Linked DNA regions of Stegostoma tigrinum. The protein of the gene in region 1 purifies or fractionates together with the protein of each later gene. This does not show direct contact. Links are inferred from orthologs where the notes say so. Each region holds a gene or a part of one and is shown in the gene's direction. Other genes may lie near its edges. The genes, in order: elongation factor 1-alpha 1, elongation factor 2, vars1 and eef1g.

Evidence for each region.
Region 2: the proteins of elongation factor 1-alpha 1 (region 1) and elongation factor 2 fractionate together in Homo sapiens (co-fractionation; 3 studies listed by BioGRID). This does not show direct contact. The link is inferred for Stegostoma tigrinum from reciprocal best matches to the Homo sapiens genes EEF1A1 and EEF2.
Region 3: the proteins of elongation factor 1-alpha 1 (region 1) and vars1 purify together in Homo sapiens (affinity purification with mass spectrometry; 3 studies listed by BioGRID and IntAct, counting the BioPlex papers as one, with this or other methods). This does not show direct contact. The link is inferred for Stegostoma tigrinum from reciprocal best matches to the Homo sapiens genes EEF1A1 and VARS1.
Region 4: the proteins of elongation factor 1-alpha 1 (region 1) and eef1g purify together in Homo sapiens (affinity purification with mass spectrometry; 5 studies listed by BioGRID and IntAct, counting the BioPlex papers as one, with this or other methods). This does not show direct contact. The link is inferred for Stegostoma tigrinum from reciprocal best matches to the Homo sapiens genes EEF1A1 and EEF1G.

Annotation. Positions count from the first base shown.
Region 1 is NC_081357.1:98,948,848-98,956,393, forward strand, and holds the start of elongation factor 1-alpha 1, read left to right. Parts: upstream 1-4,543; 5' UTR 4,544-4,748; intron 4,749-5,612; 5' UTR 5,613-5,650; coding exon 5,651-5,794; intron 5,795-7,546. UniProt on the Homo sapiens protein: Translation elongation factor that catalyzes the GTP-dependent binding of aminoacyl-tRNA (aa-tRNA) to the A-site of ribosomes during the elongation phase of protein synthesis.
Region 2 is NC_081383.1:37,094,813-37,102,179, reverse strand, and holds the start of elongation factor 2, read left to right. Parts: upstream 1-4,348; 5' UTR 4,349-4,479; coding exon 4,480-4,482; intron 4,483-5,604; coding exon 5,605-5,819; intron 5,820-6,123; coding exon 6,124-6,305; intron 6,306-7,367. UniProt on the Homo sapiens protein: Catalyzes the GTP-dependent ribosomal translocation step during translation elongation.
Region 3 is NC_081387.1:26,737,984-26,744,998, forward strand, and holds the start of vars1 (valine--tRNA ligase), read left to right. Parts: upstream 1-4,001; 5' UTR 4,002-4,111; intron 4,112-7,015. UniProt on the Homo sapiens protein: Catalyzes the attachment of valine to tRNA(Val).
Region 4 is NC_081395.1:5,754,919-5,762,476, forward strand, and holds the start of eef1g (elongation factor 1-gamma), read left to right. Parts: upstream 1-4,538; 5' UTR 4,539-4,627; coding exon 4,628-4,639; intron 4,640-4,765; coding exon 4,766-4,924; intron 4,925-7,558. Other genes in the region: transmembrane protein 179B-like, read right to left, coding at 299-394. UniProt on the Homo sapiens protein: Probably plays a role in anchoring the complex to other cellular components.

The DNA of each region.
Region 1 (7,546 bases):
AAAGCTGAAACACCGAAGGATGTGGGGTAATTACTTGTGCATGTGACACAGAAAGCTAGCAGATAGATAATCGGGAAGGCTCATGGAATGTTGTCTTTTTATTTCAAGGGATTGCAGTAGAAGAGTAGAGTTATAGAGTCACATAAGTCTTGCTGCAACAGTACAAGATGCTGATGATACCACATCTGGAGTGTTGTGAACAGGTCTTGTTTCCTTTTTTAAGCAAAGACATCATTTCATTGGAGGCATTTCAGAGAAGGTTCACTTGGATTAGCTCCAATATGGAGGGATTGTCTTCTGAGCAAAGGCTAAACAGGTGGGGACTCTATTCACTGAATTTTAGAAGAATGAGGGATTGTCTCATTGAAACATGAAGGATTCCGTAAAGGTTTAACTGGGTAAGAATTGAGAGGATGTTTCCCTTCATGGGAGGGTTTAGGACCAAAGGGCATAGTCTTGGAATAAAGGGTTATCAATTTACGACCGAGGATGAAGAGGAAGTTCTTTTCTCAGCTTGTGATTCTCTGGAATTCTTTACCAAAGTTCTGTTTTCATGCCATCATGATTGCCTTTATTTCAGTTTAAAATACCGGACTTGAAGTTATACTTTATCTTCTCAAGCTGAAAGCAAAATTCAATCGTACAATGGTTGTTGCTCACTAAGGATGCCATCATTAATAGGTCATTCATTTATCCTATCTCATTGTACAATACCAGATCTAGAATAGCCTGACATCTGGTTGGCTCCTCAGTGTACTATCTTCAGAAATTAGCTGAGAAAAAGTCCATAAACTTCTCATCTAAATTGCTTTTGCCTATCCAATATTTCCAGTCCATTTGCAGATTAAAATACCTGACATTATTGCTGTACTTTTACATTCTCATTATTTCTCCTGTACATACTTCATCCTGTTTTGTGGTTACTATTAGGGGACCTGTACGTCATTCCCATCATCTTATCCATGCCGATCAAGTTTCCCAAACTAAACTAGTCCCACTTGCCTGCATTCGGTCCATATCCCTCTAAACCTTTCCTATTCACGTGCCTGTCCAACTACTTCTTAAATATTGTAACTGTACCTGCATTCACCACTTCCTCTGGTAATTTGTTCCACATAAAAACCATCCTCTGTGAAAAAGTTGCCCCTCTGGTCCCTTTTAAGTCTTTGTCCTCTCACCTTAAAAATATGCCCACTAGTTTTGAACTCCCTCACAGTCAGAAGGGTCTGTTTCCATGTTGTATGTTCTCGATGACTTGACTTCATCATTTAACATTTCCTACTTCTACAATTACTTCTCCATGTGCTATTCTAAAAACTCAGGACATGCCTCTTTGTTGTGCTAATACCATCATCAATTAACACAGCTACACCTCCCCCTTTTCCTTGCTTTCTATCCTTAAATGTCTTGTGATCTTCAATATTCAGGTCCTAACCTACCTCAGTCCACAGTCATCTCTCTCTGTAATGGCTATTGTATTTCACTTACTTAATTATACTTGTGCTCGGTTTTCTTTTGCTATGTGCATTCAGATACTGAGCCTTTAGTTATTATTTTTCTAATCTTTCGAACAAACAGTGGATTTACTCATGGATTAGTATTCTCTGTTCCTTTCCATCATGGTCTGTTTATCATTTTCCATATTAACACCATTGTGTCTTCCTTCCCATGCTTTTTGGGAAGATGCAGTAAATCAAATTTGATCCTTTGTCCTCATCATTTAATTTAAAACCCTGTTCCTGGTTATTTGGCTTAACACAGAACTGGACCTTGTTGAATGCTTTATGAAAATCCAAATACACCACATCTACTAGTTCCCCTTTGTCTATTCTGCTAGTTCCATTCACATTGACAAACATAACTTTCCTTATATAAATCCCTTTTGCCATTGCCTAAACTTACCATTATTTTCAAATATGCAGTTAGCACATCCTTTATAATTCATGATTGTATTTCCTGATGACAGATATCAGAATAACAAAGCTACAGTTCCCTGTTATCTTCGTTCTTAAATAGTGGAGGTATATTTCCTACTTTCTAATCTGTACAGATTGTTTCACAGTCTTAAAAAACTTGAGATACGGTCATTTAAGGGTCATTACTTTTATAACACTCTTTTCAACATTGAGATGTAGATCATCAGGTTCAGATGCTACATTTTTAGTAATGCTAATTTATTTTGGTTTCCCATTTTCACTAATTCAGGTTCTGTCATTTCCAGGTGACTGTTTATATTTTCCTCCGTGAATACAAGATACAAACTATTTGTAAATTTTCTGTCATTTCCTTATTCTTTATTATAAACTGTACTGACTCTGCCCTGTAATGGGCCCACATTTGTCTTTATTAGTCTTTTCCTCTTTGGATACATGTACAGAAGGTTTTATGATTTTTTTTTTTGCTCTTTTACCTTTGTATTGTATTTTCCCTTCATCAGTTTCTTGGCCTTGCTTTGCTGAGTTCTAAGATATTCCCAATCCTTACGCTTTCTATTTTTTTGGCAACTTTATAAGTCTCTCTTTGAGATCTCCTAGAACTTTTTCGCGTTAGCCATGGTTGAATCATTTTTGTGGTTAGGTTTTTATGCCTCAAAGGAACGTATATTTGCTGTAAATAATTTATTAATTCTTTAAAGGCTAGCCAGTCCTTGTCTTTGGTTATAACCTTGACTGTCTGTCTTTAATTTGTCTGTCATTGCTAGAGGGATGGAGTTTAAAAACAGGGAGGCTATGCTGCAGCTGTATAGGGTCCTGGTGAGGCCACACCTGGAGTACTGTGCAGTTTTGGTCTCCTTACTTGAGAAGAGATATACTAGCACTGGAGGGGGTGCAGAGGAGATTCACTTGGTTGATTCCAGAGTTGAGAGGGTTGGATTATGAGGAGAGACTGAGTAGGCTGGGAATATATGCATTGGACTTCAGAAGAACGAGGGGAGATCTTATAGAAACATACAAGACTGTGAAGGGAATAGATAAGTAGAGGCAGGGAGATTGTTTCCACTAGCAGGTAAAACTAGGACTAAGGATCATTGCCTCAAAATGAAGGGAAGCAGACGTATGACTGAGGTTAGGAGGCACTTCTTCACCCAAAGGCTTGTGGATTTGTGGAATCCCCTGCCCAGTGAAGTGGTTCAAGCTACCTCACTGAATGTTTTTAAGGCAAGGCTAAATAAATTTTTGAACAGTAAAGGAATTGAGGGTTATGGTAAGCGGGCGGGTAATTGGAGCTGAGTTTTGAAAAGATCAGCCATGATCTTATTGAATGGCGGGGCAGGCTCAAGGGACCAGATGGCATAGTCCTGCTCCTAGTTCTTATGTAATGTACTTTCTCAGTTTACCATAGCTAACTTGTCCCTCATTCAGAAATGCACGTTGATTCGGTCACCAGTAGAGTACAATGACCTATATAGTTCTATCATAACCAGTCTGTTCTTATGGTTGAACCTCAAACTTGCCAAAAGTTCTGGTAATTCATCCCTGAATGCTCCTTTACAAGATTATTAATCAGTCTTTTCTCATTGCACAAAAATGGATCTAAAGTAATCTAATCTTTACTTGGTTCCTTGAGAAGACTATTTTCAGGAATTCCTTCTCATAGCAATGGTGCCAATCAGTTTTCTCAAGTCTATATGTAGACTGAAGTTCTCTGTGATTACGCTATCATTGTTACATGCATCTCCAGTTTTATTAGCACTACTGTTTGGTGGCCTCTAAACAACTTGCACCAGGTTTCGCTGCCCGTCCCTGTTTCTTAGCTCCATCTGAACGGATTCTAGATATTGATCTTCCAATCTAAGATCTTCTCTCACCAATATCTCCTGAACAGATGAAAGGGATTGAGCTGGCACTATGGGCTATTTGGTGAAGATGTGGGGGAGTAGCACAGTTGGTGTTTGGTTGCTGGTGTTTCAAAACGGTTACTGTCACCCACAAACACGTGTGGTTCACTTTTAAACTTGGTGTATAAGTTAACTCTTGAAATATCCCTTCAAAATTTGGAGCGGGGGGGTGTACATATGCACTAATACACATGGCACTTCACCCCTTTACCCCCCACCTCAACCTGCCACACTGCTCTCAGTTGATGCAAATTTGGTACATTTGTTAGTGTGGCAAAGCTCACAGTGAGAGGCCAATGGCGACAAACTCTCACATCTCATCAAACAGAACAGGTTATGTTTTACGTGAGATAACATAAGATGCCAGCAGACTGGGGGAAACAACCCTTTTAAGCGATTGGCAAAAGGTGAGTTTTTCTTTGGGGCTGCGGTGGAGGATTACCTGAGGGAAAAGTTTTCAGAGCCGCTGGAAGGTTAGCGGGGGGCGTCGGGTCATTGGGTGGGACAGGGAGGGTGGCTCCCCGTTGAGGCAGCACAGACACATCGGGCTGAATGGCCTCCTGCGCTGTGTGGGGGCGATGATGTTCTCTCGGTCTGACCCAAACCCCGCCGTCGAATCGTTCAGGCAGCGGGCGAGCTCGAGCTCCAGTCACGAGGGGGCGGAGTCGGCGCACGAGGGATGGGCACGGATTGTGTGTGTTGACCGCGGGGGGTCGCAATTGAAGTCAATCGGCGGACCCCCTTCTTCCCAACGCCCACCCGCTGGCGCCTATTAATAGCCGTGACGCAGCCGCTTTCCGCCTGTTTGCCGAGCGTGTGTGGAGCCGGTAGGGTGTAGGGTGGCCTTTTGGCTCGACGCATTGACCTATTGCGGGCGGGCGGTAACCACCTCCACTCCTCCATCGAGAAGGTGAAGCGGTGAAAGAAACGGGATGGGTGGTGGGTGGGAGTGCTGCTGTTGGAGGAGATGGTGTGACCGGGTTGGAGGGATTCGAAGCTGTGGGCCAGCTTCGTTAGCCGCGTCCCCTTTAGAAGGCGGCGGCGGCTACTAAACGGGTTTCGGTTCGAATTGGCTAATTTCGGGGTGAATCGAGAGACAGAGAGAGAGAGGGAGGGAGAGGGGGGGACCCCTAACGACCCCAAATATTCTAATCTTCTATTACCGGAGCAGTCTTTTCTCATCCCCCCCCCCCACCTGGCGTTCGCTTTTCTGTGGCATCGTTAGTATAAAATTGGAGGGGGGGGGGGTGCAGCCGACAAGTGGGCGGCGGCGGGGCTTTTTATTTTTTTTGAAGGTTTTTTTTCTTATACCGTTTTACCGCAAACGTTGGTGATCGTTCGGCGAAGGTTACGGGTGGAGCTTGTCCCTGACCCTGTCCGGAGGAACCGTGTGTTGGGGGTGGGGGCGGTTCGGTGCCCGTTGGTGAGAAAATGGCCGGTGTGTCCGTGCGGTTATTGTCAGTCAAAATGGAGGAGAGCAACATCAACTGGAATGGGGGCGTTGGAGAGGGAAAGGCAGCAGGTATCTTTATCACTGTAACAATTCGGAGAAATGACGGAGATGCGCTTAAAAAAAAGGAGGGAAAGCGGCTGAAGATCGAGAGAGGCGCTCTTTCTCCCCCTCCCCCCCCTTACAGGAGGAGATGGCCACTGTCTTTAGAGTAAATCCACCGACTCCTGTAATTTGGAGATTTGGTATGGGGAGAAGGCGTCAGTATTGCGTTTTTTTTTTGGCTTCCTAACTTTTTTCTCCCAATTTAACTCCCATCCCTAGTTCCTTAAGGCTGAGGCAACAACCCACTGGCAAAAGCAATGGGTAAGGAAAAGATCCACATCAACATTGTTGTCATTGGCCATGTGGATTCTGGCAAGTCCACCACCACTGGCCATTTGATCTACAAATGTGGTGGCATTGACAAGAGAACCATTGAGAAGTTTGAGAAGGAAGCTGCTGAGGTGAGAAAGCAAGAGGGTCAACTTTATAATGAAATGAGAGGCTGGATGAACACAGCAGGCCCAGCAGCATCTCAGGAGCACAAAAGCTGACGTTTCGGGCCTAGACCCTTCTTCAGAGAGGGGGATGGGGTGAGGGTTCTGGAATAAATAGGGAGAGAGGGGGAGGTGGACTGAAGATGGAGAGAAAATAAGATAGGTAGGGAGGGGATAGGTCAGTCCAGGGAAGACGGACAGGTCAAGGAGGTGGGATGAGGTTGGTAGGTAGGAGATGGAGGTGCGGCTTGGGGTGGGAGGAAGTGATGGGTGAGAGGAAGAACAGGTTAGGGAGGCAGATACAGGTTGGACTGGTTTTGGGATGCAATGGGTGGAGGGGAAGAGCTGGGCTGGTTGTGTAGTGCAGTGGGGGGAGGGGACGAACGGCTGGTTTTGGGATGCGGTGGGGGAAGGGGAGATTTTGAAGCTGATGAAGTCCACATTGATACCATTGGGCTGCAGGGTTCCCAAGAGGAATATGATTTGCTGTTCCTGCAACCTTTGGGTGGCATCATTGTGGCACTGCAGGAGGCCCGTGATGGACATGTCATCTAAAGAATGGGAGGGGGAGTGGAAATGGTTTGCGACTGGGAGGTGCAGTTGTTTATTGCAAACCGAGCAGAGGTGTTCTGCAAAGTGGTCCCCAAGCCTCCGCTTGGTTTCCCCAATGTAGAGGAAGCCACACCGGGTACAGTGGATGCAGTATACCACATTGGCAGATGTGCAGGTGAACCTCTGCCTAGAATACACCTCCTCCCACCCACCCTCCTGCAAAAATTCCATCCCCTATTCCCAATTCCTCCGCCGCATCTGCTCCCACGATGAGGCATTCCACTCCCGCACATCCCAGATGTCCAAGTTCTTCAAGGACTGCAACTTCCCCCCCACAGTGGTCGAGAACGCCCTTGACCGCATTTCCTGCAACACATGCCTCACACCCCGCCCCCGCCACAACCGCCCAAAGAGGATCTCCCTCGTTCTCACACACCACCCCACCAACCTCCGGATACAATGCATCATCCTCCGACACTTCCGCCATCTACAATCCGACCCCACCACCCAAGACATTTTTCCATCCCCACCCCTGTCTGCTTTCCGGAGAGACCACTCTCTCCGTGACTCCCTTGTTCGCTCCACGCTGCCCTCCAACCCCACCACACGCGGCACCTTCCCCTGCAACCGCAGGAAATGCAACACTTGCCCCCACACCACCTCTCTCACCCCTATCCCAGGCCCCAAGATGACTTTCCACATTAAGCAGAGGTTCACCTGCACATCTGCCAATGTGGTATACTGCATCCACTGTACCCGGTGTGGCATCCTCTACATTGGGGAAACCAAGTGGAGGTTTGGGGACCACTTTGCTGAACACCTGAATCATATTCCTCTTGGGAACCCTGCAGCCCAATGGTATCAATGTGGACTTCATCAGCTTCAAAATCTCCCCTTCCCTCACCGCATCCCAAAACCAGCCCAGTTCGTCCCTTCCCCCCACTGCACCACACAACCAGCCCAGCTCTTCCCCTCCACCCACTGCATCCCAAAACCAGTCCAACCTGTCTTTGCCTCCCTAACCTGTTCTTCCTCTCACCCATCTCTTCCTCCCACCCCAAGCCGCACCTCCATCTCCTACCTACCAACCTCATCCCACCTCCTTGACCTGTCCGTCTTCCCTGGACTGACCTATCCCCTCCCTACTATCTTCTTTTCTCTCCATCT
Region 2 (7,367 bases), on another chromosome or scaffold:
CTCTCAGTCCACAGAGGAGCTGATAGTGGGTTGCTGTCTTACTGAATGATAAATGAGTAAGAGTGGAGTGGTAGAGATAATGGGAACTGCAGATGCTGGAGAATTCCAAGATAATAAAATGTGAGGCTGGATGAACACAGCAGGCCCAGCAGCATCTCAGGAGCACAAAAGCTGACGTTTCGGACCTAGACTCTTCATCAGAGAGGGGGATGGGGAGTGGGTTCTGAAATAAATAGGGAGAGAGGGGGAGGAGGACCAAAGATGGAGAGAAAAGAAGATAGGTGGTGGGGAGGTAGGGAGGGGATAGGTCAGTCCAGGGAGGATGGACAGGTCAAGGAGGCAGGATGAGGTTAGTAGCTCCATTTCCTACCTACTAACTTCATCCCGCCTCCTTGACCTGTCTGTCCTCCCTGGACTGACCTATCCCCTCCCTACCTCCCCACCTGTACTCTCCTCTCTATCTATCTTCTTTTCTCTCCATTTTTGGTCTGCCTCCCCCTCTCTCCCTATTTATTTCAGAACCCACTCCTCATCCCCCTCTCTGATGAAGGGTCTAGGCCCGAAACGCTGATGGTGCTTGGCCTGCTGTGTACATCCAGCTTCACACTTTGTTATCTAAGATTGGAGTGGCAGTTTCATTGATACCTGAAAGTGTGCATTCAAAGTAGCTGGATCACATGGTACTGTAACTCTCAAAAATTGTATTAAGAACACCCTCAGGTGGTGCCTTTAAGGTGTGTCAATGTGAATATTGAGTTATAGTCAGTCCGAAGATATATCCTTACACTTTTACACAAGGAGATTTTCCAGCTTTCTTGGGAAGAATGTGGTTGAAACTCAACTGGACCGCAGGAAATCATTCGTCATATTCTGAAACTGATCAATCACAAATTCTAAATAAATAAGCCATTGTTTTCAGTGGAGATGTGGCAAGCAAGGAATAGATCTGTCAAATTGAGAATTAAGGATGAGAGTCAAGCAAAATGTTCCAAGTCTAAATCGGTGCCTTATGCAATTAGACCAAAGGTCAAGGCAGATGAGAGAGGCTGATGAAGACAGAAGTCTTTGAACCCATAAATGTGAGTGTTTGGGTTATGCCTATCATACTAGTAACTATCTATGGTGATGTTTAAGGTCACTGTTAATCAGGTAATATATGCTGAACATGTACTTTGCCTTTAATCGTTGACCTATTTGCTAGACTAGCTGCAGTCAGCTTTTGATTTTAATTCTTAATTCATTCATAGAATTAGGATGTTGCTGGCTATTGCCCAGGGTCAGTTATGAGTCAACAACATTGCTGTGGATCTGGAGTCACATGTACGCCAGACTAGTTAAGGGCAGCACTTTCCTTCCCTAAAGGGCATTGGTCAACCAGTTGGGTTTTTCTGACAATTGACAATGGATTCATGGTCATCTTAGACTCTTTAATTTTATATATTTATTGAGTTCAAATTTCACCATTTGCTGTGGCAGGATTCAAACCTGAGTCACTGAATAACAGTCTAGTATTAATACCACAAGGCCATTGTCGCCACATCATCAATAAAATTAACCTTAGTCAAGCCTGTCGTCAGTTGAATGTAGATCGATGCACAAATGCTTGCCTGTCACTTTAAGAATTTGATTATGAGGCATAATGGTGATCTCATTTGTCATTTTGGGTGGGGAAAGAGCACTCTTAACTTCCTCTAAAATGAACACCTCACTAATAAAGCTCCTGCTGGTGTTAAACACATTGTCCTTCGGGTTCTCCTTGGAATGCAATAGTGTCATTCGCAAATTTTAAATATTTGTATGTTCTAATATAAAAATTATTCAGACAGTTCAAGAAGTCATTCAGAGAAATTCTGTATCACTATGGCACGTTATCCTTTGCCCTTGCAGTTTCCTTTTTTTTGTTTCTCTATATACAACCTGTGACATCATCTGTCTTGCTGTTGCACATCATTCATAAGTTCTGTTTATGTGGGAAAGGTGGCAAATGCTAAATTAATTATTGCACAGCTAGAAGTGGTCAGCATTAAGTGTAGTATATTAGGAGACATCAGAGTGTGATTAATAGTTGGTAAGGATTTCAGAGGTTTTGTCATTGGAGCCCTGGACTCTGATTTCAACAAATAACTTAATGAAATGAACATTGTACTAAATGTTTGAAAACAAACCAAATTGGACAGTGTATACCATACATTCACAATATTCCAGAGGTTCACCTCCAACATGTATTGGATGTGGAATATTTAGCTGATTGAGCTGATGCGTTTTCTTTGGACATTTATGCATGTCAAGTTTCTTAGGTGTAAATTTGAAGTTTCAGAATATGACAAATGATTTACTGCGGTCCAGTTGAGTTTCAATCCGGTGCAGTGCAGTGGGGGTATGACACTGCAGTCATTCATGCTGGTCAGTTTAGATATGACACAGAAGTGATAGCTGAGGTTTTCATTCAGGTGGCATTTTATCCTGACACCAAATGGCATTTGATCTTTGAACAACCATTATCGAGTATATTGTAAGCATTATAGGAAGATATCACATGGTCTTGCTTGATCAAGCTCCTGATTTTTAAGTCTTCAAGGCAGTTCTAGCCAATATGAAACAATTGCAGGATTGTGATGAAGATAAATTCTTTCAGCAATGCCTTCTCCACATCCAATGGGAGGATTGTTGAACAAACACAACTTTCCATCTTGATTTTCTGAAGAGGGGTCCCAACCCAAAACATCAGCTTTCCTGCTCCTCTAATACTGCCTGACTTGCTGTGTTCCTCCAGCTCCACACTGTTATCTCTGACTCCAGCATCGACAGTTCTTACTATATCTGTCTATCCTGAAGTCAGCTGTCCTAGTATTCAGGCAAAGGAACTCTGAAACACCACCTTCAATGGATTGGACATATGTTTCGATGACTGAAAAGCGTCTCCCTTGTCATCCTTTTTTCACACACGGAGGACAAAGAAAACACTTCAAATACTGGGATAACAAGGTGTAGAGCTGGATGAACACTGCAGGCCAACCAGCATCAGAGGAGCAAGAAGGCTGACGTTTTGGGCCTAGACTCTTCTTCAGATTTCTGAAGAAGGGTCTAGGCCTGAAATTTCAGCCTTCCCTCTCCTCTGATGCTGATTAGCCTGCTGTGTTCATCCAGCTCTACACGCTGTTATCTCAGATTCTCCAGGATCTGCAGTTCCTACTATCTCTAAAACAACTTAAAATACCGTGCAGCTCTTCCTGAAGTACAGTAATGTTGACATTAATGACTGGGAGGAGCTTGTAACTCATCAGAACATTGGAATGGGAAGCTATTTAGCCTGTTATTCAACTACATCATGGATAATCACCTACCACAATGCTATTTTCCTGCACTCTTCCTCCTATACCTTGTGTCGGAGTCTATTTTCCTGCCCACTTCCTCCTGTACCTTGTGTCATTAAAATCCCAAAAGCTTTTGAAATGTTCAATGATTGAATCTCCACAGACTCCGAGTAAAAAATTCTGAAGGTTAATTCCTCTGAATTTCTCCTCTTCTAACTCTTTAAATGGCTAGCCCCTTACTTTGGGATAGTGTCTCTTGGTTCCAAAGTCACCATCCAGCTTTGTACCAGACGCAAAGCAACTTCTCCATCAAGCAGCAGCTCTCTATCACACACTTAAATGATGAGGCAGAGCAGCAGCAGAGAAGGGGAAAAAGAACAAATTCTGCACTCCAGTTCCCAATGCCTTGGGCACATCTTGTCCCATGAAAATAATGTGCGGAGTGGGATATTACCTATTCAGCCATGTGAAGACACATATCAGAACCAGTGACACAGAGTAGATGTTATCCTCAAATCAACGGACCTTGCTGACGTGGACCTCATACTCCAGATATGTTTCTATATCTTCATTGCAGTGTGTTTCTGCAAGCCTACATACAAACGTTATGGTAACTAGGTGGATGGGCCATGCTTCCTGGGATGGGTGTGAGGGCTGGGTTTGTGTGCAATGCTCTTCAGAGTCCATGCAGGCTCAATGGGATGAAATGGCCTCTTTCCACACTTTGATTCTATGAAACCTTAAAATAGCTTCCAATTCTGATGAATTTAAGCTCACTTTCCTTTGGCCTACTTCAACCCCAATGTGAGTTCTGAAGAGGTCATGTTAGATTCTAAACATTAATTCTATTTCTCTCTCCAAATTTGCTGAGTTTCTTCAGAACTTTCTGATTTTATTTCAGATTCCAGCATCATGGCATGAAGACAGAATCGGTCCGTTACTATCAGAAAGTTGTGGGTGCACGCCTTTGTATTTGTCTTTTCAGACAGACCCGCAAGGGGGCGCCTGTTTGGGAGGACTGTACCTACGGCGGGACCACGTGACGCAGCTGCGGCTGGTAAAAGGCCGGAAGTTGCTGGAACCGGTCCTTTTCTTATCCGCCCGTTCGGTGAGGCGGACAGAAGCCGGAGCTTGAGAACGAAGCAATCCAGCCCCATCCGGCAAAATGGTAAATCGGCGACGTCTCCATCGAGTGGGAATGGGTGTCGGGCGCTTCCATCGATATTTTCAGTGCGGTATTGAGACTGGATGCCTTCCTCCCGACGATGATATTGTCTCTTTCGTAGATGAAGAGGGGGCCCGTTAGTGGGCCCGACAAAGTTGGGGGGGGGGGTGGTTCTTGTGCGGCCCGCCCGCCGTGATGCGCAATCAGATTGAAGTTGAACGGATTAGGGGAGGGGTGTGGGGGTTTTACTGCCTCTGCCATGGGGCAAGGTGTTGGTGGGGGAGCGGGTTGTTATTTGGCAGTGAGGGTCCAAGGTGGGGAGAAGGCAGGGACGGAGCTGTCACCGGGTTTCCGGCGCGCCCCCCCCCCCCCCCCGGGTGTTGTTGTGCGTCACTAGGAGGCGGGTGTTTATCTGCGGGTCGGGGAGAGGGGTGGGTCGGCCGGTAAGAACCGGCGACTGTTTAATCCTCAGCCCTGTCCCAGTCCCCACCGCCACGTGGAACCGAAGGTGGCCCTTGTCCCGGCTTCAGGGTGAATGTCACCGGGGACGTGGCTTCCTTCTCTCCCCCCCCCCCCCCCCCCCCCCCGGCATTGGCTGTGCTCCTTCCTGTGCATGTCGTTTGGCAGCGGCTCCAGCCTGACTCATCTCGCCCTGTTGGAGAAATGGGATTGATTGCGGCACACGGTGCATTAACGTGATCGGGTTTCCAGAAACGGCTTTTGTGTGTTTTAACACGTGACGTCTCGGGTCGATCTTTAATGCAGGGTATTGATCGCAATCCCTCTTTTTTTTTTAAAAGATCAATTATGGTATGTTTTAGCTTGAATCTGTTGGTTTTTTGTATGTTGCGTGTTTTTTTTGCCGTGAGGTGTCGGTTTGCATTACTTGATATCGATGCCGCGTTATAGATGGTTTAGTGCGTTCTGATGGATCTTAGATGCCTATTTTTCTGGTGGTGAAGGGAATAACATGGGGCCAGTCCTGTTTCCTTTCCTTCATGGGATGGGAGGCTTGTCTTGGGTTCACGTATGGTGCAGTGATTTAGCCAAATTTGACTACTACCACTGCTTTACTGATATCCCCAGTTTACTTTGTAGTCATGGTATTGTAATATCAATTTCCAGGTGAACTTCACAGTAGACCAGATCCGTGCCATCATGGACAAAAAGTCCAACATACGTAACATGTCTGTGATTGCACATGTTGACCATGGCAAATCCACCCTTACTGACTCTCTGGTGTCAAAAGCTGGAATCATTGCCTCTTCCCGTGCTGGTGAAACTAGGTTCACTGACACTCGCAAGGATGAACAAGAAAGATGCATCACCATTAAGTCAACGTGAGTGACTACACTTTTAGTTTTAGTTAACAAGCTGCACTTTGCATTTGTAGGCTTTGTGTCCAAGTCAGTGGGGAAAATTTGGTGTAATGCTGCAAGGAGATTCTACAACTATGTGCCAAAGTCTGGCAATTGAGCATAGCTGTTAACTTCATCATGATCTCCTTTCATGTGTATCTTGCTATACTGGAATACCAATTCTAATAAACCCGCATAGTGTTATGTAACTGCTGCTCTCGTTATAAAACTTGGTGCTGGCTCCTTTTGCTTCAAGGAATAACTAGCAATTTGTATCTTTGTGCAGTGCCATCTCCCTGTTTTACGAACTCAAGGAAGAAGATTTAGCTTTCATCAAGCAGAGCAAGGATGGCAGTGGCTTCCTCATCAACCTGATTGACTCACCTGGGCATGTTGACTTTTCCTCAGAAGTAACAGCTGCTCTGCGTGTAACTGATGGTGCTCTAGTTGTGGTAGACTGTGTTTCTGGTAAGTGATATAATCATGCCAGTGGCCAGCATTTTGCAGAATGGCTTGGCTATGAAGTCACACTATTGAGGCATATTGAGCAGCATGGTAGTTAGCATAGCTGTCTCGCAGCACTAGGGAGTTGGGTTCGATTCTACTTCTGTGCGACTGTGCAAACTCCATGCAGACGTTTTCACCGTGTCTGCATGGATTTTTTTCCAGGTGCTTCTGTTTCCTCCCACAGTACAAAGATGTGTAGGTTAGGTGGAGTAGCCAAACTAAATTGTCGATCGTGTGCAGGCTAGGTGGATTATTCATAAAATCCCGACAGTGTGGAAACAAGTCCACAATGGCCCTCCGAGCATCCTGCCGAGACCCATAACTCTCTAACCCACCTAATCTGCACATCCCTGAATGCTGTGGGCAATTTAGCATGGCCAATCCACTTTGTATGGGTTTCCTCCCACAGTCCAAAGTCACCTGAGTGTGGCATTGAACCTGGGTTCCTGGTGCCATGAGGCAGCGGTGTTAACCACTGAGCCACCATGCTGCTTCTAAATGTAGCCAGCAGGGTTTGAACCTGTGCAGGGAGACCCAATGGATTTTGAACCCACTGCCGTAGCCACTTAGTCATGACTACAGGCCCCTACAGAATTAGCCATGGGAAATGCAGGGTTACATAGATAAGGTAGGTAGGTGGGTCTGACTGGGATGCACTTGAGGTTTGATGTTAACTTGATGGGCCGAATGATGTGCTGTACTTGGTCAAGGATTTAGGTTAAGTGGGTTTTTTTGGCTACACTTGTGATATGACATTCTGACTCCTGTTTTGAAACTGAGCTGTGCACTATACTAAGGTGCAGCATCAGAGCAGCAGGAAGGCTGACATTTTGGGCCTAAGCCCTCCTTCAGAAATTCTGGAGAAGGAAGAAGCATTTCTGAAGAAGGGTCTAGGCCCGAAACATCAGCCTTCCTGCTCCCCTGCTGCTTGGCCAGCTCTGTTCATTCAGCTCTGCACCTTGTTATCTCAGTTTCTCCAGCGTCTGCAGTCCTGCTGTCTCTGAATTGTACCTACAGGATGCT
Region 3 (7,015 bases), on another chromosome or scaffold:
TTTGAAGTTTGCATCACACGCAGACAGAGCGTCTAAGAAGAGGTTTAGCACACTTACCTTCATTGCTCAGAGCTTTGAGATTACAATTGGGGTGTCATGTTAAGATTGTCCTGGATGTTGGTGAGGCCTCTTCTGGAGTACGGTGTCAACTTCTGATCTTTCTGTTATGGGAAGGATGTTATTAAGCTGGGGAGGGCTCAGAAGAGATTTACCAGGAAGTTGCTGGGAATGAAGCGTTTGAATTATAAGTAGAGGCTGGATAATCTGGGACTTTTCTCACTGGGGCGAAGGCGATTGATGGGTGACCTTAAGGAAGTTTTTAAAATAATAAGTAGTGTAGATAAATCAGAATGGTGAGTGTCTTTTCCCTAGGGAGGGGGGATTTCCAGACTAGGGGGTACAGTAGCTCAGTGGTTAGCACTGCAGCCTCACAGCACCAGGGACCCAGGTTTGATCCCACCCTCGGGTGACTGTGCAGAGTTTGCACGTTTTCTCCGTGTTTGCGTGGGTTTCCTTCAAGTGTTCCGGTTTCCTCCCACAGCCCAAAGATGTGCAGGTTAGATGGTTTGGCCATACTGAATTGCCCACACATCTGTAGGTTAGGTGGACTAGCCATGGGCAATGCAGGGCTACAGAGATGGGATGGGGCGTGGGTCTGGGCAGGATGCTTTTCATTTGTGTGGACTCCATGAGCTGAATGGCCTGCTTCCACACAGTAATGGATTCTATAGTGGGTATAATTTTAAGGTGAGAGGAGAAAAATTTTAAAAAGACACGAGGGGACTTTTTTTTTGCCCAGCGAGTGCTTCGTGTGTGGAATAATTTTCCAGGGGAAATAGTGGATGTGTGTATAGTTGCAACATTTAAGAGACATTTGGATAAGTACATGAATAGGAAAGGTTTGGAGGGATATGGGCCAGGAGCAGGCAGGTGGGGCTAGTTTAGTTTGGGATTATGATTGGCATGGGCTGGTTGGACCGAAGGGTCTGTTTCCGTGCTGTGTGACTATATATAAGTGTGAGGCTACAGTCATGAAGGTGCATTTATTTAATATGTTAATTTGTAATATGGAAGCATTGATAGTATTGGGGCTGGCCAGGCCTGAAAGCAGCGTAAAACGGCTGGGAAGATTTTTAGCTGAAGCAGTAGTTTGTTTAGTTTGACATTTAAACTTCAACTATGAGCTGTGGTAATCGCAGTGTCTGGCGCTGGAATACATCCAAGGTACAAGATTAATGCAGTCCACAACAGGGCCGTGCACTCAAAACAGAAAGGGTGGTGTTGAGTAGCTGCTGCCTCTGTTTGTACAGAAATAGATGGATAAGGAACGTCTTTGAGGATGCTGATTGAAAATCCTATACTACGTTTGTTCAAAGTCTGGGATTCAGCCCAGGGTAGGAAGGAAGGGCACAATGCGGAGGTGTTCTGCAAAGCGGTCCCCAAGCCTCCACTTATCCCAGGCCCCAAGATGACTTTCCATATTAAGCAGAGGTTCATCTGCACATCTACCAATGTGGTATACTGTATCCATTGCACCCAGTGTGGCTTCCTCTACATTGGGGAAACCAAGCGGAGGCTTGGGGACCGCTTTGCAGAACACCTCCGCTCGGTTCGCAACAAACAACTGCACCTCACAGTCCTAAACCATTTCAACTCCCCTTCCCATTCTTTAGATGACACGTCCATCATGGGCCTCCTGCAGTGCCACAATGATGCCACCCGAAGGTTGCAGGAACAGCAACTCATATTCCGCTTGGGAACCCTGCAGCCCAATGGTATCAATGTGGACTTCACAAGCTTCAAAATCTCCCCTTCCCCCACCGCATCCCAAAACCAGCCCAGTTCGTTCCCCCCGACACTGCACCACACAACCAGCCCAGCTCTTCCCCTCGACCCAGTGCATCCCAAAACCAGCCCAGCCTGTCTCTGCCTCCCTAACCTGTTCTTCCTCTCACCCATCCCTTCCTCCCAACCCAAGCCGCACCTTCATTTCCTACCTACTAACCTCATTCCACCTCCTTGACATGTCCGTCCTCCCTGGACTGCCCTATCCCCTCCCTACCTCCCCACCTATACTCTCCCCTCCACCTATCTTCTTTTCTCTCCATCTTCGGTCCACCTCCCCCTCTCTCCCTATTTATTCCAGAACCCTCTCCCCATCCCCCTCTCTGATGAAGGGTCTAGGCCCGAAACGTCAGCTTTTGTGCTTGAGATGCTGCTGGGCCTGCTGTGTTCATCCAGCTTCACACTTTACTATCGGGAATGATGGCTGGATATGAGGGGAAATGTGAATAATGTAGAGATGATAGAATTTGTGGTTAGCACTGCTGCCTCACAGCATCGGGGACTTAAATTTGATCCCACCCTCGGACAACTGTCTGTGCAAAGTTTGTACGTACTCCCCATGTCTGCATGGGTTTCCTCTCACACTGCAAAGGTGTGCAGGTGAGGGTGGGATTGGCCATGCTAAATTGTCCCATAGTGCCCAGGGATGTGCGGGTTAGGGTGGGATTGGCCGTGCTAAATTGTCCCATGGTGCCCAGGGATGTGCAGGTTAGGGTGGGATTGGCCGTGCTAAATTGTCCCGTAGTGCCCAGGGATGTGCAGGTTAGGGTGGATTGGCCGTGCTAAATTGCCCCATAGTGCCCAGGGATGTGCAGGTTAGGGTGGGATTGGCTGTGCTAAATTGTCCCATAGTGCCCAGGGATGTGCAGGTTAGGGTGGATTGGCCGTGCTAAATTGTCCCATAGTGCCCAGGGATGTGCAGGTTAGGGTGGATTGGCCGTGCTAAATTGTCCCATAGTGCCCAGGGATGTGCAGGTTAGGGTGGGTTGGCCGTGCTAAATTGTCCCATAGTGCCCAGGGATGTGCAGGCTAAGGTGGACTGGCCGTGCTAAATTGTCCCATAGTGCCCAGGGATGTGCGGGTTAGGGTGGGTTGGCCGTGCTAAATTGTCCCATAGTGCCCAGGGATGTGCGGGTTAGGGTGGATTGGCCGTGCTAAATTGTCCCATAGTGCCCAGGGATGTGCAGGTTAGGGTGGATTGGCAAACTAAATGCCCCGTGATGTCCAGGATGTGCATACCATTTGGATTAGCTGTGTGAAATAGAGGGTCACACGGATAGGGCAGGGTGTTTACATCTGGGTGGGATGTTCTTCGGAAGACGGGTTTGTACTCTGGGCTGAATGACCTGCTTCCACACTGCAGGGATTCTATGAATCCAAATGTTAAGAATATCGACGTATCACTCCTGGGTTGTCTGGGAATTATTTGGTGCATACAGGAAATGACTTTCCAATAAAAGAGGGAATAAACAGCTGCCACCATAAACTAATGTTAGATGACCTCCAGGTCTCCTCCCTGCCTGAATTACAGGTACCGCAACAGGAGAAGATTTGAGGATGAAGAATCTGCCGGGACTGTGGAGTCTTGCATTAATATCCGGAAGCATGGGACCAATATTGGAAAGAGCAAATGAGGAAGTACAACCGATGGATCGAAGGGAGACTTTAAGGACTATGGGCTTTATTTGCTCTGTCAGATGGGACATGTTACACCGGGGGGAATAGACGATGATAATGCATAGCTTGTGGTCGATTTCGGTAAGGGACATTAAGTGTGTGCGGTGTTCTACAGGCAGCCTGTTGAATGTGTGTCAGAAAAGGTGTTAAAATGACAGTTTTATGCACTTTTGGAGTCTTTTGTTCCCCTCCCCATGTTCAGTGGACTACAGAGAAGGGGGTGGGAAATAGTGTGTAGATATTATGAATATGTAGGGGTGCCAGTAATATCATTACATGTCTGTTTTCACCGCACTCCTACCACCCCCACCTCCGAGAAGCGGGAGGGAGGATGGGAGGGGGGACAGAGAGGAGGGGGAGAGAGGGAGAGTTGGGAGTCGGGAAAGGGGGTTGCGGTGTGTCAGTGAGCTGCTCCTTGTGCAGTTTGTATTGGATTGTTCCGCAGTTACCAGCAGAGGGACTCCTCAATGCGGATATTACAGAGCAGGAAGCTCCCTCCCACCACCCCCTGTCTCTCTCTCTCTGTCCTCACGCCGGCCTGGGCCGAGGGAGTCTATTCTACCCGGGGAGCTGCGGCCAGGACAAGAAGGTTCGTAACCTCGCCCTGGCTGGGGGCTGGGGGCTGGGGGCTGGGGACAGAGACAGAGACAGAGCCAGAGCTGCATTTAGCGGCAGCAGAGGGAGCAAGAAAGAGCCATGTGTCATTTTATAAAAGTGATACTGGTGAGGGATTGGGGGGAGTCTCAGAGTGGGGCAGGGACAGAGGGAGGGGAGTAGGGGATGGCAGGGACAGAGGGAGGGGAGTAGGGGGTGGCAGGGACAGAGGAAGGGAGGAATGAGAGGATGGGCAGGGGAGAGGGAAGAGAGAGAGATGGTGGGGGTTGTCGGGGAGAGAGTGATCCAGGCGCTCCCGTGCTGGGAGGGCCTGCCTCCCCCACCCCGAGCCTCGGGTTAATCCACCGCCGCTCTTGTACCACCCAGTCCCGGGCTCTGAGCTGACCCTCTCCCGCTCAGTACCAGCACCGCTGGCTGGGGCTTTAGCTTTCATTTACCTTATTGCACCCTTTTTTTTGCTGCTTTGATTTTGCTTATTGCGCCTTGCTGGCCCTGGGAGGTGAGTGTATCTCTACCTCTTAATTCCCTGCCTGTCTGTGCCCTGAGAGCTGATGCAACCGGCTGTAACTTTGCAGCACATGCTAAAATACTTTATCAAGCTGTGGGTCTGCTTCTTTCACATCTGTCTGCAGAACACCACCCGCTCCCTCCCCCTCCTTCTTTATTTTCTTCCCAGCCCCTGATTGCCCCTCGGGCTGAATGCCTTGTTGGGAGAGTCAGTCCCATTTGCTGGTCACAGATTTCCTCACCTAAATACCATCCATGTTGTATACTGTTTTTGTTGTTTGCAGTACAGATGCTCATCTGCAGTCATTTGCTCCTCTTTAAACAGCTGCATGGATGGTGGAACCTGGAACCCCCAGACTTTCTAGGCTCAAACTGCCAACAGGTCCCCCACCCCCATCATCCCCACTTTGTACTTTTATAAATATTTCTATCATTTTACTTAAATTAAGGAGGGATTTGAACCCTAGTCGCTAGTGCATTTGGATTTTCAATCCAGTGAAATTACCACCAAGCCACCATCTCTATCTCTCTCTCTCTCTCTCTATCCTCCTTCCCCCCCACCCGCCCCAAAACATGCGTATTAAACACAGCAGGCCGGGCAGTATCAGAGGAGCAGGAAAGCTGACGTTTCAGGTTTACACCCTTCATCTGATGCTGCCTGGCCTGCTGTGTGTTCCTCCAGCTCCACGCTCTGTTATCCCATTTTGAAATGCTGTTGGCGGTGGAGCAGTATTTATTTTCTAATGAACCTGCTCAAGGATGTTGACTTAGACATGCATTGCCAGGCTCAAGAGCAGCTTCTTCCCCACTGTCAGTCTGAACAAACTCCTCAAATTGCAAATTTAATGTTGACTCCACCCTTTGTGCACCTTCTTAACTTTGCATTCCTTGCTCTGGATGTGAGTTTGCTCGCTGAGCTGGAAGGTTAGTTTTCAGACATTTTGTCACTTTTTTTTAATTTGAAAAAATATACTTTATTCATAGAATGTACAAAAAATAAAACATTTATACACCTACTCAGTCATGCAAGGCACTCCGGGTTACCCAGGGGGTACGTACACCAACTAAAGGCAAAAACAAAACAGAGAAAAAAAAAACAAATCAAAGAAAATACCGCGGCAGTCGTCACCCCGCACAGTCCCCGTTGGCCCTCTGACCAGTTGGGGAAGGCGCCAGCTGGGCCCAGTTACCAGATAGGGTTCTTTTCCCTTTTCTGGATGAGGGGGCTCATACGGTGGTCTTTCCCCACCGCGCCCTGGCGGCGGCTGCCCCAAACTTTAGTGCGTCCCTCAGCACGTAGCCCTGGACCTTGGAGTGCGCCAGTCTGCACCACTCGGTCGGGGTCAGTTCTTTCAGCTGGCAGACCAGCAAGTTGCGGGCAGACCAAAGAGCGTCTTTCACCGCATTGATGGTCCTCCAGGCGCAGTTGACATTGGTCTCGGTGTGCGTCCCCGGAAACAGCCCGTAGAGCACGGAGTCCCGGGTCACGGAGCTGCTCGGGACGAACCTCGACAAATACCACTGCATCCCCCTCCAGACCTCTTGCGCGTAGGCACACTCCAGAAGGAGGTGATCAACAGTCTCGTCCCCTCCGCAGCCACCTCGAGGGCAGCGTGCGGTGGCGCAGAGATTCCGGGCATGCCTAAAGGATCTCACTGGCAGAGCCCCTCTCACCGCCAGCCAAGCAATGTCCTTGTGCTTGTTTGAAAGTTCTGGCGATGAGGCATTCTGCCAAACGACTTTGGCAGTCTGCATGGGGAACCACACGACGGGATCCACCCTCTCCTTTTCCCGAAGGGCCCTAAGGATACTACGTGCTGACCACTGCCTGACGGCCTTGTGGTCAAAGGTGTTTCCTTTCAAAAATTTCTCCACGAAGGACAGGTGGTACGGGACGGTCCAACTACTCGGAGCGTTCCACGGCAACGAGGCCAGGCCCATCCTTCGCAACACCGGGGACAGGTGGAACCTCAGTAAGTAGTGACACTTGGTGTTTGCGTACTGAGGATCTACGCACAGCTTGATGCAGCCGCACACAAAGGTAGCCGTCAGGGCAAGGGTGGCGTTCGGTACGCCCTTTCCCCCATTTTCCAGGTCTTTGTACATGGTGTCCCTGCGGACCCGGTCCATCCTCGACCCCCAAATGAAGTGGAAGATGGCCCGGGTGACCGCAGCGGCGCAGGTCCAGGGAATAGGCCAGGCCTGCGCCACATACAACAGTACCGAAAGCCCCTCGCACCTGACAACCAGGTTCTTACGCGCGATGGAGGGGGACCGGAGCGTCCACCTGCCCAGCTTCTGCTTCAATTTGGTGATATGCTCCTCCCAAGTCTTAGTGCACGCCCCAGCTCCACCAAACCAAACACCCGGC
Region 4 (7,558 bases), on another chromosome or scaffold:
AGCTACACATCTGAAAATCTTCCAAGTGGCGTCAACGACCCTCCTAGAACCATTTGTACACTCTGTCCCAAACTTTATAGTTATACTACTGGGCAAGGGCTCACGTTATCTAGCAAAGTCCAGGTTAATATTTAAGTCAGAAAAACAATTTTTGAGGGCTCGTGTCACTGTGTAGTTCTGTACGTACGTACGTACGTACGCACGCACCCACCCTCCCCTCCCCCCTCCCCTCCCCTCCCCTCCCCTCTCCTCTCTTCTCTCTCTCTCTCTCTCTCCCCCCTCCCAGCTGAGTCCCTACCTGGGTAACTGTGACTAGAGCAGCGCTGACAATACCACAAATAAACGCCGCTGCGTAAACCGAGAACTCCAGGCACAGAAGGAGAGAAAACGCCATGTTCCTAACACAGATCACAGAAACACGGAACTGCAAGAAGTTTTAGTTTTCAGAGGGGAGGGGATCTGTGTTCGTGGTACAGCCCCTTCCCTCACCTGACATTCATTTGCTGAATGACACAGCCAGTCCAACCCCCAGACTCTCCAATTTGCCAATTGCAAAGCTCACTTTGCATTTTGCATTCCCAGGGGTTCACGCACGAAATGGCACAAAAGTTGTTGATTTTATTTCCTGCACAGTGTCACCGCTGGGTAGGGTACTTGCGTGCCCGGGGAGTGGGGCTCACCTCTCTGTGTTGGGGGGTCTGGGAACCACAGGCTAGCCTTAAGGCTGAAACGCACTGCCAGTGCTGAGGGAATGGGCACTGTCAGAGGGCCAGTGCCGAGGGAGCGGGCGCTGGCGGAGGGTCAGTGCCGAGGGAGCGGGCACTGTCGGAGGGTCAGTGCTGAGGCAGTGCTGCACTGTCGGAGGGTCAGTGCCGAGGGAGTGGGCACTGTCGGAGGGTCAGTGCTGAGGAAGCGGACACTGTTGGAGCGTCAGTGCTGAGGGAGCGGGCACTGTCAGAGGGTCAGTGCTGAGGGAGTGGGCACTGTCAGAGGGTCAGTGCTGAGGGAGCGGTCACTGTCAGTGGGTCAGTGCTGAGGGAGCGGGCACTGTCGGAGGGTCAGTGCTGAGGCAGTGCCGCACTGTCGGAGGGTCATTGCTGAGGGAGTGGGCACTGTTAGAGGGTCAGTGCTGAGGGAGCGGGCACTGTCGGAGGGTCAGTGCTGAGGAAGCGGACACTGTTGGAGCGTCAGTGCTGAGGGAGCGGGCACTGTCAGAGGGTCAGTGCTGAGGGAGCGGTCACTGTCAGTGGGTCAGTGCTGAGGTAGCGGGCACTGTCAGTGGGTCAGTGCTGAGGGAGCGGGCACTGTCGGAGGGTCAGTGCTGAGGCAGTGCCGCACTGTCGGAGGGTCATTGCTGAGGGAGTGGGCACTGTTAGAGGGTCAGTGCTGAGGGAGCGGGCACTGTCGGAGGGTCAGTGCTGAGGGAGCGGACACTTTCGGAGCGTCAGTGCTGAGGGAGCGGGCACTGTCGGAGGGTCAGTGCTGAGAGGGTGCCGCACTGTCAGAGGGTAAGTGCTGAGGGAGCGGGCACTGTCGGAGCGTCAGTGCTGAGGGAGCGGGCACTGTCGGAGCGTCAGTGCTGAGGGAGCGGGCACTGTCGGAGGGTCAGTGCTGAGGGAGCGGGCACTGTCGGAGGGTCAGTGCTGAGGCAGTGCTGCACTGTCGGAGGGTCATTGCTGAGGGAGTGGGCACTGTCGGAGGGTCAGCGCTGAGGGAGCGGACACTGTTGGAGCGTCAGTGCTGAGGGAGCGGGCACTGTCGGAGGGTCAGTGCTGAGAGGGTGCCGCACTGTCAGAGGGTCAGTGCTGAGGGAGCGGTCATTGTCAGAGGGTCAGTGCTGAGGGAGCGGTCACTGTCAGTGGGTCAGTGCTGAGGTAGCGGGCACTGTCAGTGGGTCAGTGCTGAGGGAGCGGGCACTGTCTGTGGGTCAGTGCTGAGGGAGTGGGCACTTCGGTGGGTCAGTGCTGAGGTAGCGGGCACTGTCAGAGGGTCAGTGCTGAGGGAATGGGCACTGTCCATGGGTCAGTGCTGAGGGAGCGGGCACTGTCGGACGGTCAGTGCTGAGGGAGCGGTCACTGTCAGTGGGTCAGTGCTGAGGGACTGGGCTCTGTCAGTGGGTCCGTGCTGAGGGAGCTCTTTACTGTCAGAAATACAGTCTTTCGATTGTCACCATCAGCTCAGGACTATCCTTGCAGACAGCAGTAAAATGATTCAGTCTCCAACAATGTGCCTCTCCGTCAGCATGAACAGATTCAGCAGGAGAGGGCTTTGCCACAGGACAGGACATGTGAACAGGTACAAATGGAAGGTGTTGGAACATGGAAATTCTGGACAATTCAGCTCTCTGATTCCTGAACAGTCAATCAGCAAAGCTGCAACCAGGCGCACAGTTCTAATAAACCCTAAAACGGAGCAGAGATAAGGTCTTCAGTCCCACAAGCCTGTTCCACCATTCCACGAGATCATGGCCAATCTACGTCTGGACCATTTTCCTCATGCTCCCCATATTCCTTGATGTCTTTTACAGCTAGAAACCATGAACACACACAGTGATTGGGCATCCACATTCTTCTCGCTTGGAGGATCGCAAAGAGTGAGCTGTCTTCTGAATCTGGAAGAGGAACTTTCCACTTGAAGAGAACCATCTCCTAGAATCATTGATTCATGGAGTTTTCATGGGTTAGAAAGTGGCCCTTCGACCCGCTGTATCCGTGCTGGCCATCGAACAGCCACCCATTTAATCCCATTTTTTAGCATACAAATAAAACTTCCCGCGGATCCTCACCCTGGCGACTCTTCAGAACATTGCGGTCAGAAGTTCTGAAGAAGGGTCACTAGACCAGATCATTAATGCAGCCTCTCTCTGCACAGATGCTGCCAGACCGGCTCTGTTTCGCCAGCAACTTCTCTTTTTGTTCCAGCATTTGCTCCATAGCCTCATATACCGTGGTATCCTCTACATTGTGGGTGTGTGGGTTCTGGGGTGGCAAGGGGTGGGGTGGGGGACGGTTGTGGGAATGTAGGGCTGGAGGGCTCGTGCTGGGCACAGCTTTTAAAGGGGAGTATTTGGGGGTGGGAGAGGAATGAATGGGCCGAATGGATTGCTTCCTGTTCCAAATGGAATTATGTTGATACCACCTGCCTGGCGTAACCTAACAGCAAAACAACAAAACAGCAGAAGAAAGGAGTGGGGTAGGCCATTCAGCCCTTCAAGCTTGTTCTGCCATTCAATGATATTAGGGCTGATAGGGTCAGAAAGATATACAGCTTAGAATCAGGCCTTTTGGTCCAACATATCAATGCCGACCAGATATCCTAAGTTAATTTAGTCCTATTTACCAGCATTTGGCCCGTATCCCCTACAAACCCTTCCTATTCATGTGCCTATTCCTATTTGTGAAAAAGTTGCCTCTTAGGTCTCTTTTAAATCTTTCCCCTCTCACCTTTAATCTATGTCCTCTAGTTTTGAACTCCCCCACCCTGGCTCTTCACCCTATCCATGCCCCTCATGATTTTATAAACCTCAGCCTCTGATGCTCCAGGGAAAATAGCCCCAGCCTATTGAACCTCTTACTTGTTCGCACAGAGGGTGGTGCATGTATGGAATGAGCTGCCAGAGGAAGTGGTGGAGGCTGGTACAGTTACAACATTTAAAAGGCATCTGGATGGGTATCTAAGTAGGAAGGGTTTAGAGGGATATGGGCCAAATGCTGGCAAACGGGAACTATCTTAATTTAGGATATTTGGTCAACATGGGTGAGTTGTACTGCAGGGTCTGTTTACTATAGGTGTGAGCCGGAAAAGCGCAGCTGGTCAGACAGCATCGGTGGGGCACATAGGTGAACATTTTGGGCCAAAAACCCTTTGCCAGGTTGCTTTTCCAGCCTCACACCTGTAGACTCTGGCTTCCAGCATCTGTGGTCCTTATTGTCCCTGGCTCTGTTTCAGTGTTGTGCCTCTCTGTGACTCTCCCTGCAGCTGAAACCCTCCAGTCCTGTGGCACATGGCCTATTTCCCAAATGCCTGCCTTTTGACCCATTGCCCAGAGGAAGGAGACGCACAGCTGGAAGCAGGCAGAGGTAGTCAGGGAGAAGGTTTTGAAATAGCGGGAACTGCAGATGCTGGGGAATCTGAGATGACAAGGCGTAGAGCTGGACGAGCACTGCAGGCCAAGCAGCATCACAGGAGCAGGAAGGCTGGCGTTTCGGACTTGGACCCTTTCTGAAGAGGGTCTAGGCCCAAGACATCAGCTTTCCTGCTCCTCTGATGCTGCTTGGCCTGCTGTGTTCGTCCAGCTCTACACCTTGTTGTCTAGGGAGAAGTTTTTGGAGCTTTTGACATGGTCCTGATGATCCTGTCTCTCCAGCTCTGATGAAGGGTCTAGGCCCGAAACATCAGCTTTTGTGCTCCTGAGATGCTGCTGGGCCTGCTGTGTTCATCCAGCCTCACATTTTATTATCTTGGATTCTCCAGCATCTGCAGTTCCCATTATCTCTCCAGCTTTTAGCTCTGGTTCAGTCTAGGGGTGGTGGTCGGCTACTGTCAATCATCACAAAGGCCACGCCCCCTGGGTTTACGACAGTGCCGTCAGTCAGGCGGCTCTCTCTCTCTTCGGCGCCCCGGCGACATGGCGGACGGGGTAAGTGCTGGCTCCCGGTTACAATCCGCGGTGTATCGGCGCCATCCCGGCTCCGCGAACCCGGCTGGCGGTCCCGAAAGCTCGGCGGGCCTTTCTCACTGAGCCGTGTGCCTTCATTTCCCGCAGATCCTGTACTCGTACCCGGAGAACTGGCGGGCCTACAAGGCGCTGATCGCCGCCCAGTACAGCGGCTCCAAGCTGCGGCTGCAGAGCGGGCCGCCGCATTTCACCTTCGGACAGACCAACAGGAGCGCCGCCTTCCTGCACAAGTTCCCCCTCGGCAAGGTCAGTCTGTCGGGGCGGGACAGGGGATCCGGAGCAAGCCCCGGGCTGAGGGGAGATCGCAACCCACCCCCCACCCCCTCCATCCCCGTAACACCTCGCCTCCCCACCTCCAAATCACCCCCTGCCTCCCCACCCCGATACCCCTCTCCACACACCCCCCCTCACTGCCCCCCTCGTCCCTGTCCCCCCCCCCATTCGTCCCTGTCCCCCCCCCATTCGTCCCTGTCCCCCCCCCCATTCGTCCCTGTCCCCCCCCCATTCGTCCCTGTCCCCCCCCCCATTCGTCCCTGTCCCCCCCCCCAATCTCGTCCCTGTCCCCCCCCCCAATTCGTCCTGTCCCCCCCCCAATTCGTCCCTGTCCCCCCCCCCCATTCGTCCCTGTCCCCCCCCCCCATTCGTCCCTGTCTCCCCCCCCCCATTCGTCCCTGTCCCCCCCCCCCATTCGTCCCTGTCCCCCCCATTCGTCCCTGTCCCCCCCCATTCGTCCCTGTCCCCCCCCATTCGTCCCTGCCCCCCCCCCCATTCGTCCCTGCCCCCCCCCATTCGTCCCTGCCCCCCCCCATTCGTCCCTGCCCCCCCCCATTCGTCCCTGCCCCCCCCCCATTCGTCCCTGCCCCCCCCATTCGTCCCTGCCCCCCCATTCCGTCCCTGCCACTCGCCCCTATGTCTCCATCCTCACCCGCCCCCAACTCCCCCCTTGTCCCCAGCACCGATACCCTCCTATCGCCCACATCCTCACACTTAATCCCCCCCCCATCAGCCCACCCTTAATTTGCTCCCCCATCCTGCTGCGCTCCCCCCCCACCTGCCATCACGCCAATAGTAAATCACTTTTCATTCACTTACAAAACAATACCGTCACTGTAGAGTCATGGAGGTTTTCAGCATGGAAACAGGCCCTTTGGTCCTCCTTCACCATTCCACCCAGTTTTTGCAATTAATCTAGTTAAGTTGCCTGCATTTGGTCCATATCCCTCCCCATACATTTCTTCGATGTCAAAATTGTACTCACGTCCACTCCTACCTCTGGCAGCCCATTCTAGACACTGACCACTGTGTTGAAAAAATTGCCTCTCTGGACCCTTTTGTGTATCTTTCCTCTCACCTTAAACCTGTGCCCTGTAGTTTTAGACTCCCCATGGGGAGAAGCTGTTGGCTACCTTCTGTATCAATGCCTCAAGGATTTTATAGACCTCCATAAAGTCATCCCTCAGTCTCCTACCCCAGGGAAAACAGCCCCAGCTTGTCCAGCCTCTCCTTATAACTCAAACCTTCAGCCTAGGCAGCATCCTAGTAAATATTTCCTGCTCTCTTTCTGGTTTAATAATATCCTTTCTATAGTAGGGCAGCTAGAACTGCACATGGTACTCCAAGTGTGTCCCTACTAAAGTTTTGTACAGATCCAACAAGATTGTCTTGAATATTCAGCCCTGCTGTGAAGGGATTATTGGGGGAAGGGGGACTGTCCACTTCTCTGTTGTATGGTATTATATTCCATCACCATGTCTTTTTTTTGGCCTAAATGCCTTTTGGAGGAGGCGATGGCAAGCTCTCATGACCCTCTGCTGTCTGTGGAGTGTAGGGACATACGCGGTTTTGTTAGGAAAAGAGTTCTAGGATTTTGATCCAGCAACAATGTAGGATCAACGGATATATTTCTGAATTATTGTGATGTGTCTTGGAGGGTACTCCCATTTATCTGCTCCCCTTGCCCTTCTCAGTGGTGGGGGGCCGTGTCACAGATTTTAAATATGTGTGGAGTTTGCTACTGTTCACTCCTTGCCCCCATTTTTCAGTGATTTTTAATGTATATCCCTGCCAGCACACCAATCCCGAATTATTGGAGTCTCACATTTTGGCTGTTTGGATGTGGAGCAGGATTGTCTGACGTCGAGTGGACCTGCCTGTCTCAAATCCTGGCAGGCTCAGGAGCAGGGATAGTGCTTGATGCTGCCATGACCTCACTGGATCAGGGCAATCTGTTGGTGTCAGCAACATGTCAGCGAGAGTGTGAATTGAACCTAGTTGTTAGTGACGGATGAATGACTGTGCTATGTGCAGCCTGCTGTCGGCGTGGCTCAAGTAACAACACTCTCTCCCTGCAGTCAGAACCGTCTCAGTTGTAGACTGGGGGCCATTTGGTGCTTTGAGTCTATTCCATTGTTATTCAGTGGGTGATTTGCACTTCATCCCCCAATAATGGGCACCTGGGGGTTAGAGGCATGGGTGGAATATAAGTGCGGAAGTGTCACCACACCTGTACGAGGTAATGGTGAGCTTGAACCTGGAGTCTCGTGTACAGTTTTGGTCTCCTTACTTAAAGAGGAATGTAATTGCATTGGATGCAGTTCAAAGAAGGTTCACTTGGCTCATTCCTGAGATGAAGGAAAGGTTCAGTAGGTTGGCCCTTTACTCAAGAGTTTGAAAGAATGAGAGGTGATCTTGTTGGAACACTCAAGATTGTGAGAGGGGTTTGATGGGGCGGATTCTGAGAAAATTCTGGGAAGGGGAATGAAGAAGGCGCAGCTCCACAATATGGGGGTCTTCTGTTTACGATGGAGTTGAGGGCATTTCCTCCAAGGGTTGGGGTCTGGCTCTGGCTGCTAATCTCAGCCTTGAATATATTTTTGTTTT